2 linked regions of the Drosophila melanogaster genome follow. The protein of the gene in region 1 interacts with the protein of each later gene in a pairwise test. Each region holds a gene or a part of one and is shown on either strand. Other genes may lie near its edges.

Region 1 (5,429 bases):
GGTAGCTTAAATCAGTCCTCCTCAGTCAATATGCCGCTTTCCAGCCTAGCTGCCTCATCCACTTTCCCAGCTGCCTCATCATCTTCCATATTTGCCCTCAACGGCATCGCCAACGAAATGAGCCAGTCCCTGCACGAGGATCCTCCGAAATCGTCAGCCAGTCTTGATGAGTGTTTGGTTTGCTCGGATGCCAAGCGGGATACGGTCTTTAAGCCCTGTGGCCATGTCAGTTGCTGCGAGACCTGCGCTCCGAGGGTGAAGAAATGCCTCATCTGTCGGGAGACCGTCTCCTCGCGCGAAAAGATCGACGAGTGTCTGGTGTGCTCGGATCGCAGGGCAGCCGTCTTCTTCCGCCCCTGTGGCCATATGGTCGCATGTGAGCACTGCAGTGCTTTGATGAAAAAGTGCGTCCTGTGTCGCACGCAAATCGATGAGATATTATCGTTCAGCCTTTGCTGCGGAGGTAGTGGACGACCGGAGAAGGTGTCCGTGGCAGCTGGAGCGATGGCAACAGTGGGCTTGCCACTGCCCGACGATCGTTTCATGGAAGCTGCAGCAGCGGCAGCTTGTGCCAATGCCTCCGGCCATAGCGTGGCCATGAACAACACCGTGGTTACTCCAGTGGCGGGCAGCAGCAATCAGTTGAATAGCCAGAATAATCTCCTGGCCGCTGCAGCAGCCTCTTCGAATGTCTCGAATCTGTCAGCAGCTGGAAACGCGATGGTGGCTCCTTCCAATGTCAACAACTTCCAGATGGATGATGTCCAAAAGTTGAAGCAGCAGTTGCAGGACATCAAGGAACAGGTGAGCTCAAATAAGATTGAAAATATGTTCAGTGACTGATCCTCAAATTTATCTTATAGACTATGTGTCCTGTCTGCTTTGACCGCATAAAGAACATGGTCTTCCTATGTGGCCACGGCACGTGCCAGATGTGTGGCGACCAGATTGAGGGGTGTCCCATTTGCCGCAAGACCGTGGAAAAACGCATCCTGCTCTTCTGAAGCCCGTTCCCGGTTCACACATTCCGCGCACAGTCTGCACAGCCTTCGAAGTATTAGGATATTTAAAGGACTCACATTCTTATACACACATATATACACACACAATATCATATATATAACTATATATCGGATTGGTCTTATAAAGCAAAAATATATTTTTAACAAATATTCAAACAAAAACATTAAGCAGAAATACTTTTGCTTGGCTCCTTGCTAATCAGATCCCTCAGAATGTCCTTCTTGGCCTGGAAATAGTCACGGAACCAGAAAATGTGATCCTTCTTCTCCTGGGCAGTCAAGTAGGGATTCTTGGACAAGCCGACGCAGACGAGCTCCATGAAATGGCGAATAGGCCCCTTGCTAGGACACCAATCCTCGAGATGTTGTTCCAGAAAAATGTGTTCCGAGAAGTCCACGTTATGCTCGTCCTCCCAATCCTGCTCATTGTTGATGGGAAAGCGCCACACCTTCTTTTGATCCGTCCACAGGACCATTTGCTCGAAGTAGTTTGCCGGGGGATGGGAAGCTTGTAAACTAAGCTCCCGCTCACTCAGCTGTGACCAGGTTGAAAGGATGTCGTTGGAAATCGGCAGCTGGGTATCCTTGAAGATACCCAACGGTTCCCCGCCGTACAAATTGACACTGCCCGTAAAGGATTCAGCCTCTCGTTTGGTTTGCCTCTGTGACCGCTGATAAGCCCCATCTCGATTCTGTGGCTTGAATCTGGAAGCCAGCGAGCGGCGAACGTACTCGCCGCGGGTCTGCTCCACCTGCTGCGGCTGCTGACGACGATCGATCTTCATGCCCACGATAATATCACTGTTGTGTAAGGAAAATAAATTTTATTAGATTATCCATTAATGCGAGAAAATCATTTTTACACACCTCAGATTGAGTTCCTTATCACCAGAAGGAGATCCCGAAACATCCGCCGTCTGATTTTCTCCGGTCGCTGCTGAAGAGGACTCGCTTCCATGGCCAAGGAGTTTGGCCAATAGCTCAGACTCTGTCTGCTTCTTGTCGCTCTCACTGGTGCCCAGCATGCTAGCAATGTTCTTGGCCGCAGTTAGAACATTCTTGGCGGCTGCCTCCTGTTTCTGGGCCTCCCTCCGCTTCCTGTTGGCATCACCAGGACGTGGAAAGTCCGATGCCGAGAGCTGATCCGTGGCCTGCATGGTGCCCAACAGGCGGTTCAGCCGCTGGGCCGCCGTTTCCACAGGTTCCTCCTTCTTCTTCGTGGGCTTTTCGTCGTCCGAAGAGGAGTATCCATCGTCGTTTTTGGACTGCGAAGAGGAGTAGTTGACCAATCCCACGTTTTTGAAGGCAGACGGTAGCAGGGAACTGAAAAATAAATAGTCGAGTGACGGATTTCTTTTGGTTATTTCAAATTAGACGGGTGGCCTACCGTAGGCCCAATCTCTGGGAACTTCGTACGGCCAACATTTTATAATATTTCTTTGATAATTTTAACTAGAAATAAGACCAAAGAAATCGCTCGCGTAACAACAATTCGGCGGAGAGTTGCCAGACCAGATGAACTGTTTGCACTGCCGTTTAAGCTAGTTTATAGTTAAATTTGGCTTTATTTTATGTTTGGCTTCCCTTGTCCTATTTCTTATAGTGTTTTGATTGAAAATATCCTTAACTAACCTAATCATTTCATGGACATTTGTTTTTTATCTGATTTGATATAATTTGAAATAAAATGTTCTTAAAATTGCATTTTGAATCAAGAATTTTATAGATTAACTTGACCACAGTTGGCAGCCCAAATTGCACCAGATAGTATGACCTTTGATTATCGAATTTGGAAATCTATGAAAATAATTATGTAGTTCAAAACAAGCTCCTTTTATAGAATTCTACATTCTCCTTGTAAGTAATTAACTTATAATCAAGCCTTTCTTCAACCTGTGATTCTAAGGTAAACACGAAATGTTACCACTTTTTCTTTGCACTTGGTAATAAGTCTCGCATCCACCGCGGTCACACTAATCACACGTTTTGTTTTTTGCGCTATTCCTGTTACTTTTTTTCGACGTACACACGCGTTTTGTTATTTTGCGCGATTAATTAATGGCAAAAAATAAAAAAAATAAATAAATAACGAGACGAAATAACGAAAACACCAGCGGCCGAGCTAGTGTGCGTGCGAGAGTGTGTGTGAGTGCTGTGTCTGTGTGGGCGTTTATAAATAAAACGCTGCGAAGCTGTGTGCGAAAAGCAGACGCGGATAAAGAAGTAAAAGAATGAGCGCAACCAAAAACAAGAGCGAAGGAAAGAAAGAAAGTGTTTTTTATTGAAATTCGTTGAAAAGTTTTAAATTTACTAAAACAGAGAGGCGAAAGTGCAACAGAGCGAAAGAGAGAGCGATAAATAGCGAGGTGAATATCAAAGGGAAACCCATTTGCATCGAGAAATAAAACGAAGCGAACGGACGGCCAAAGCGTAATTGTAAAATTCCACTGTCTGGGGCAGGCTATCAATTGGTGCATGTGTGTGTGTGTGAGCTATATATACGTGGTAGATGTATTATATATGTACGACATATATACTGCACGACACTTACCATATATACGAAGAAAACATGGAATCATCTCGCGATAATTGCCATATCCAATGTATCTCTATCTCTCATGTGTGCGCAACATTTTGCAGCTATCCTATACGAAACCGATCTGAATCAGTATCTGAATCCGAATCCGATTTATCAACCTGTTAAGCGAAGTGGAGCCACAAACCGAGTGCTTAAATGGATGCAACATCAATAATAACGCAAGTTTCCCGCGACGACGAGCAACTGAACGTCTATCCCAGCTATCCCAATGACAAAGGTGAGAACAAATAATGGGGGCCAAACTGGGGAAATCGCTGAAAACGCAGTCCGCATACACATACATATATTTAAAGCTCCCTTCATGACTCATCGCCACTCGAAGGCGTCACAACAAAGACGAAAGGACACTTGTCCGCTGCCAAGAAGTTTCCCCCACTTACCAACCACCACCCACCATAACCTCCCAAAGAAGAGGGCCCAACACCCCGCTGACCTTTCTAACACACCCAATTGCGGTCAATATAATTGTGGGAATAAGTTAGTTGTACATATGTCGTACTTTCCGAAAGTAGCAGCAAGTTAAATGGCATTGGCCTTTTTAATTTGTACAGGAACCACTCCAAAAACAAACTGATGAAAGACAAAAGTGCTTTTAATTCGAAAAATATATTCAAACAACATGCAATTAACTTGTAGCTGGAAAAAGTTGTTCAATTCTGTCTAAGCTAAATATTTAAATTAACGTTAGCTATTATCTGTTTGCACGACTGTGACCAGTTTGCTGTACTTTCTGTAATTTGAAACCAATTAAATGGCAATTTCTTTTCTTTAATTGGGAATCTAATTTCCATTTTAAATGTCTGTACTTTTTCTACTTTCAAGGTAGACTAGGAGTTTGAATTTATAGACACATTATTGTGTAAAAATCAGACTTATGTTTTCTTAATAGATTGTTCGACTTTGATAACTGTACTATGCTAGCAAAAATTACCTTTAAATATTCAAAGGTATCAATTTATTAATCAAAAATGTCCCCAGTCATGCATTTACATTTAAATAAATGGGCTTGCACAGGTTTTCACTGCGATGAATAACAATACTTAATAATAGTGTTATTTTCACGCCAGTTGTGCCTGTCTGTTGTGTTTGTTTCGCCCCTTTTTTATTCAGCACACAGTGTTTTCTTGTTCGTTGGCCATTGTGAATGATCTAACCACTTGCTGGCTTCGCTTTGTGGTTATTGAATTATTTTGCGACGCAGTTGCAACTCTGCCACCAGCCAGCCACCACCCACCGCCCATCGCCCAATTGCCACCCACTGGCCCACTCCCACCTGTAATCAATTGATGACGTCTTTCGGCACATGTGACGTCATGGAATTTCGACACGAAAGCCTTTACTTTCCTCCCATCTTATTTTCTTTTCGTTCGCTTAACTGCCTAACTGCCTTTGCATGTTTACTTTCGAGGGTCCAACAATAGAAACTGCCAATTAAATTGCACACTAAAAAGCAAGGTAAAAAACGTAAAAAAAAGTTGAGAAAAATACAGGAAAACCGGTATAAAACGAGAGATAGCAAGAGGGAGAGCACAATCAAACTAGTTGTGTGTGTTGTTTTTTACAGTGATGCAAACAAACAAACAAGCAAAGCAACAGACGAACAACAAAAGCGTAGCTTAAAGGTTGCGATATGGTTGTAATGAATGAATGAATAAATGAATGGTGAGAGCCCAAAGAGAGCGGGTTAACTATGTACATAAGAAGAAAATGCGATAGAAAAGTAAAGATTAACCACATTATATTTAAAATACAATCCGAGACATATGTATTTATATCTAACAAAAAGAACAAAATCGAATGGTCAGTGG
Region 2 (4,817 bases), on another chromosome or scaffold:
TACCATTTTTGAGGGTTTGATTCCCTGCTATATTGCACACCCAATCAGTGTTTACCAATTAATTGATAGCCTTTGGCAGGTTTTATTTATTCTGTCTGCGTTTAGAAAGACGCACGCTTCAACAGGGGTGGCGATAGGTGAGGACGTGCGTTATCGATTGGCACTTTAACCCTTATGCGGCGTTGTCATCCATTTAGAAAAAAAAAACACAAGCGGAATTTATTTAATGTTATCGAATATATTTAACAAATTAAATCAGCATAATTATTATGTACTTTATTCAACGAAATATAGGAAAATAAACAAAATTTGTACTACAAGAAAACAATACTATTTGATTGGTTAGCAAACCATTATGTTATATGGATTTTGTAATAGTACAATTTATTATTCTTGCTTTTAGATAGTCATATACAAATTTAATCCTAAATCACAGGTTAGTTTAGCGATACCGCATAGACCACATATTCTTCACCATCACATAATTATATAGTCTCTGGTGTTCCAGATGATGCAGATCCGTGATGGTTTTCACCACTCGCTCGTCGTTGAAGTGGCTTTTAGGTGGGGCTTCCAGGAGATTTCCCGTCGTAAACCACTTTAGGTTCGAGAAGTGCTTTCTCACACTGTCCCGCAGAGCAACTCCACTGAAAACTGGTGTGCGGTACAGATCAAACATATTCTTCTTGCCATACTTCTCGTGGATCTCATCAACGGTCTTGTCCAGATCAGGCTGCTTGGCGTGATATATGACCCATAGTTTTCTTTGTGGGGCACGGAGATCTGTCAAGCTAAGAACTCCAAAGAATTCTACTATGTAGGGATTGAGTTTGGGTGTTTCAGCTTTTGGTTTTAGACAGAACAATTTTCTCAAATGGCTGTCGATTTCCTCATCCAGGTTGTAATCTCCTTCTGCGAATCGGTTGTTAATCATCGTTGATGTTCCAAATAAATAATTTGCCGTTTTAATTACCCGTGTTCTTATCAGTTACTGAATTCGTTGTCATATTTTAATAACGAGGTGACTCTTGCTTCTCTGACTTCTGAATGCGTGTTAACTTCCTACGCACTCTTATTAAATACCCAACAAATACGATTTCAACTGATTTGTATAAAGTTTGTTTCGTTTTGTTTACGATTTCCAATTTCACAACAAAAGAGCTTTTTGAAGCAACCCTGTGGCCTATCAAAAAACAGTGAGCTTTTAATGCGCTTGTTTCTTTTTAATACCTATTAATGCAGACAACTAGGGTGTTTATGTTTGTTGATTAGGATGATCGGATGACTGTGTCTTTAGACTCCAAGGTATATACTATTATGTACTACTATATTATAACCGCAAGCTACTTGTGTGTGTATATATTTTATTCGACATATTTTTATAAATCATTTAACTTGACCAATAGGTTGTAAAATGTATAATAATACCCCCTATCAACAAATACACATGCCGCTTTTAGTCAACAGATGTCGACTGTAAGTCGATGTTTTTAGTTAGTTTAATGTTTAGCAGGAGGTGGTTTTTGATCATTATACCGCTCAAACCAGGCGTGTTGTATCATTATATAGTCAAAGATTCTTTTTTGCTCCTTGTTATGCAAGTCCGAAACAGTTTTCACTAGTCTTTCATCATTATAATAACTATTTAGTGGAGCTTCCAATTGATTTCTGCTTGTGAACCATTTTAAGTTGGAGAAATATTCTCTGACGACTTTATGAAATCCCACTCCGCTGAATGTGGCGATCTGAAATATTTCTCTGACATTCCTATTGCCATATTTCTTTCGAATCCTTTCCAGAACCTTTAACCTTTCTAATCTAAGGCCATAATAAATGTACCACCGTTTTTGGGCAGCGACATTTGGTTCGTCAATACTGAATATTCCGAAATATTCTATCGTATCAGCATCCAACGACGTAGGTTCTGCAACTGACTTCATATAAAATAGACGTCTCCAGTACTTTTCCAATTTATCGTCCATGTTGCTAATATTCCCTGCTATTAAGAAATATAATCAGATGAAAACTTAAGGTGATTCATAGGCTTTGCCCATTGATAAGTGTGCGGCAATTTTGCCTTCCTACCTCAACAAGCGTTAAAAGAATACTGGTTAGCATTTATTGGCATTTATTATTTTAAAGCTTTATTCTAGAAAGTCTTATACATAAATGAAAATATTTTATGCATTTATGTTTCGATATGTACACGATTTATACAGATTACTCCTAGACATAAGGTAATCGAAGTATCTTCTCCTTTCGTTCTGATATAAATCTGCAATTGTGTTAACCACTTTCTCATCATTAAGGGAGCTACCTAGCGGGGCTTCCAAAATGTTTCCTTTTACGTGCCACTTAAGCCCTTTAAAGTGGTTCTTAACACGGGATCGCATTCCAGCCCCTGTATATACCGGTTTTCTGAACAGCTCGTACATATTCTTTTGGCCATATTTACGATGGATCTGATCCACAGTTTTGTCCACCTGATCTGTTGTCGCATAGTACATGTACCACAGTTTTCGGCGAGGCGCTCGAACATCGCTTAAACTCAGAACTCCAAAGTACTCCACTTCGGTTGGAATGTACTCATTTTTAGTATCGATTTCCTTTAGGCAAAACACACTTCGCAAATACCTTTCCAGTCGCTTTTCTAAATCGGGATATGCACCTGTAGATTATTATATACATATGTGCATCATTATAATATGCCTCTGTAAAGTTTTAACTAAACTTACTATTGGGAGCTTCAACAGCAGATGTTGTCATCTTGAAAAATTTGTTGTTAATAGAAACGGTTTTTCCCCTGCGCAACTTTTATACTTATCGCTCTGTAATATTTCACAAGAGCTTTAAGATTTCGCCAATGGCTCCAAAAGCTTCGAACGAAATGTAATTTTTCTTATTTCTTATTTTACACGATTTATGCGTTTCGGCTTATATAAAAAAATGTTAGAATGTTTATATTTATATTTTATTTGGATACTTAATAAATATGCAATGATAACTATAAGATATTTACTTGAAAGTCCCACACTGAATAAAATATTTAACCATTTATTTCAAAAAAAAAAAAAAAAAATGACGATGCTGCGTAAGGTTTAACAAATTCTTCATTTCAGAATTACAAAATTATGATTTTGCGTTCAACGAAATAATTAACTCTTAATTAACTGTGCTAAAGTAACTTAGAATACTTTCCAACTGGTTTATAGTCTTTGCCCTGCTATATAATAATCTCCGCAGAATCATCCAGCTCGCCTTTGATCACCGTCGTTTCCATGTGCCCTACGCTGCTGTTGGAGTCAGGCAGGATGCTTTCCTCTGACTGCACCGCGTGGTTAATGATGAAGACATTCGGATTTCCGGTGGTACTCAGACTCATTCCGGCGGGGGATACGAATTCGTCAGCAGGAGTCTCACCCAACACTGCACTTAAAGACCCTGTTGATTTCGCTCGTGCAACGGATGAGACTGTGCTCTTGGACAGAGTTCTTGCCGGCGCCGTCTGCTGTTTGCACAGCGCCGGTTTCTGCACAGCTGGTGAAGAATTCATCGACTTTAAAGGGCCCGAAGTCCCTGGTTTTTTCTTGGCATTCGTCCTTGGTGCTGGCATACACACTGTTGTGTTGAGATTAACGAACTGTTTAGGAACAATAAATTGTTTATTAATGACCACATAAATATTTGTCGTAAATAATAACTACCTGACTAGCGTCTTCCCGAACACTTTTCGGGATCCCCAACGTGGATCTTGGCTGAGCGTTTCCTAGAGCTGCTGCTGCTGCTGCTTGGGATGTGGAGGCTTTCACAGGCGTGCTGGTGGCAACATATGAAGACTTTCGCCCTGCCGTCGATTTCGAGCAGCTATACGGAAAGCCAAGTGTGTTCCTGCCCCCATCGTAAAGGGGAATGGTAGCGGGGAGAGAACTCCGCTGTTGGGCATGGTCCGCAGATATTTTCTTCCCTTGCTGTGGGATGTCGGAGGTGGCTATGCTTTTGGAAAGCGTCGAGCTGGTGGAAGCGCCTAAGCTCGAGTTGATTTGGGCCGGGGTTAGAGGAGTCATTGTGCTGGTAGCCTTGTTTAAGTAATGTACATAGTTTTCCAAAAGCTTTGTACCCACATCCACGTCGATGGCCATTAACGAGCTGGTCCTTACAATTTCCTCAATGGTACGCTGTCGCTCGGCCACTGATAAGTTGGCTGCCCGCCGGCTGAGGGTCTGGAGCACCAAGTCAAACATTTGAACCCTCGCCTGCAACTCCACGCGCTGCTTGTCGTTGGGGCAAATCGGAGGTAACTGAATAAAGGACGGCGACGCATTAATTACCATCGAGGTGCCGGCTAATGAGGGATTGGTAGCCACTTGTTGCACTGACTTCTTGATCAGTTTTGTGCCACGTGGCAACTGTTTGCTTAAAGAATCCAAGTCCGCCGAAATGGTAGTGGAAGAGGAACTGCCTGAAACTACGGGAGTGGAAGTAGATGGGTCCACGGTTGTGGGATGATTAAATAGACCTGGATCAGGTAGGGGAGCCGATAGCAAATTCTGTATAATCGATGGAAACGGTTGAGTTGCCGGACCAACCGAAGCGGGAGCAGGTGAAAAGGATGAAGGACCGGTGGGATCAGCAGTCGGAGTGGTAGCCGTCGGGGTCAGTTTACTGGAATCCCGTTCTTTCGACTTGTCCAGTAATTCCAGCTTTGCCCGCACCTTACTTGGCATATTCTTATCCGCCTTAGAGATAAACTTGGTGGTTATAACCAGGAACTGCGGGATTTCCAGCACCGGTACCTCGGCCTTCGAATGCAATCGAGT

Evidence for each region. Proteins that work in one complex are often made in the same cells at the same time.
Region 2: the proteins of mRpS31 (region 1) and CG33469 interact in a two-hybrid assay, tested with the Drosophila melanogaster proteins (one large-scale study listed by BioGRID).

Annotation. Positions count from the first base shown.
Region 1 is NT_037436.4:16,002,308-16,007,736, reverse strand, and holds mRpS31 (mitochondrial ribosomal protein S31), read right to left. Parts: upstream 2,545-5,429; 5' UTR 2,448-2,544; coding exon 2,410-2,447; intron 2,346-2,409; coding exon 1,890-2,345; intron 1,824-1,889; coding exon 1,187-1,823; 3' UTR 1,138-1,186; downstream 1-1,137. Other genes in the region: mib1 (mind bomb 1), read left to right, coding at 1-804, 864-1,004; hzg (herzog), read left to right, coding at 3,757-3,838.
Region 2 is NT_033778.4:14,604,194-14,609,010, forward strand, and holds CG33469 (uncharacterized protein), read right to left. Parts: upstream 2,110-4,817; 5' UTR 1,983-2,109; coding exon 1,500-1,982; 3' UTR 1,459-1,499; downstream 1-1,458. Other genes in the region: CG12868 (uncharacterized protein), read right to left, coding at 443-912, 974-1,007; CG33468 (uncharacterized protein), read right to left, coding at 2,181-2,668, 2,736-2,766; Su(var)2-HP2, read right to left, coding at 3,224-3,640, 3,705-4,817.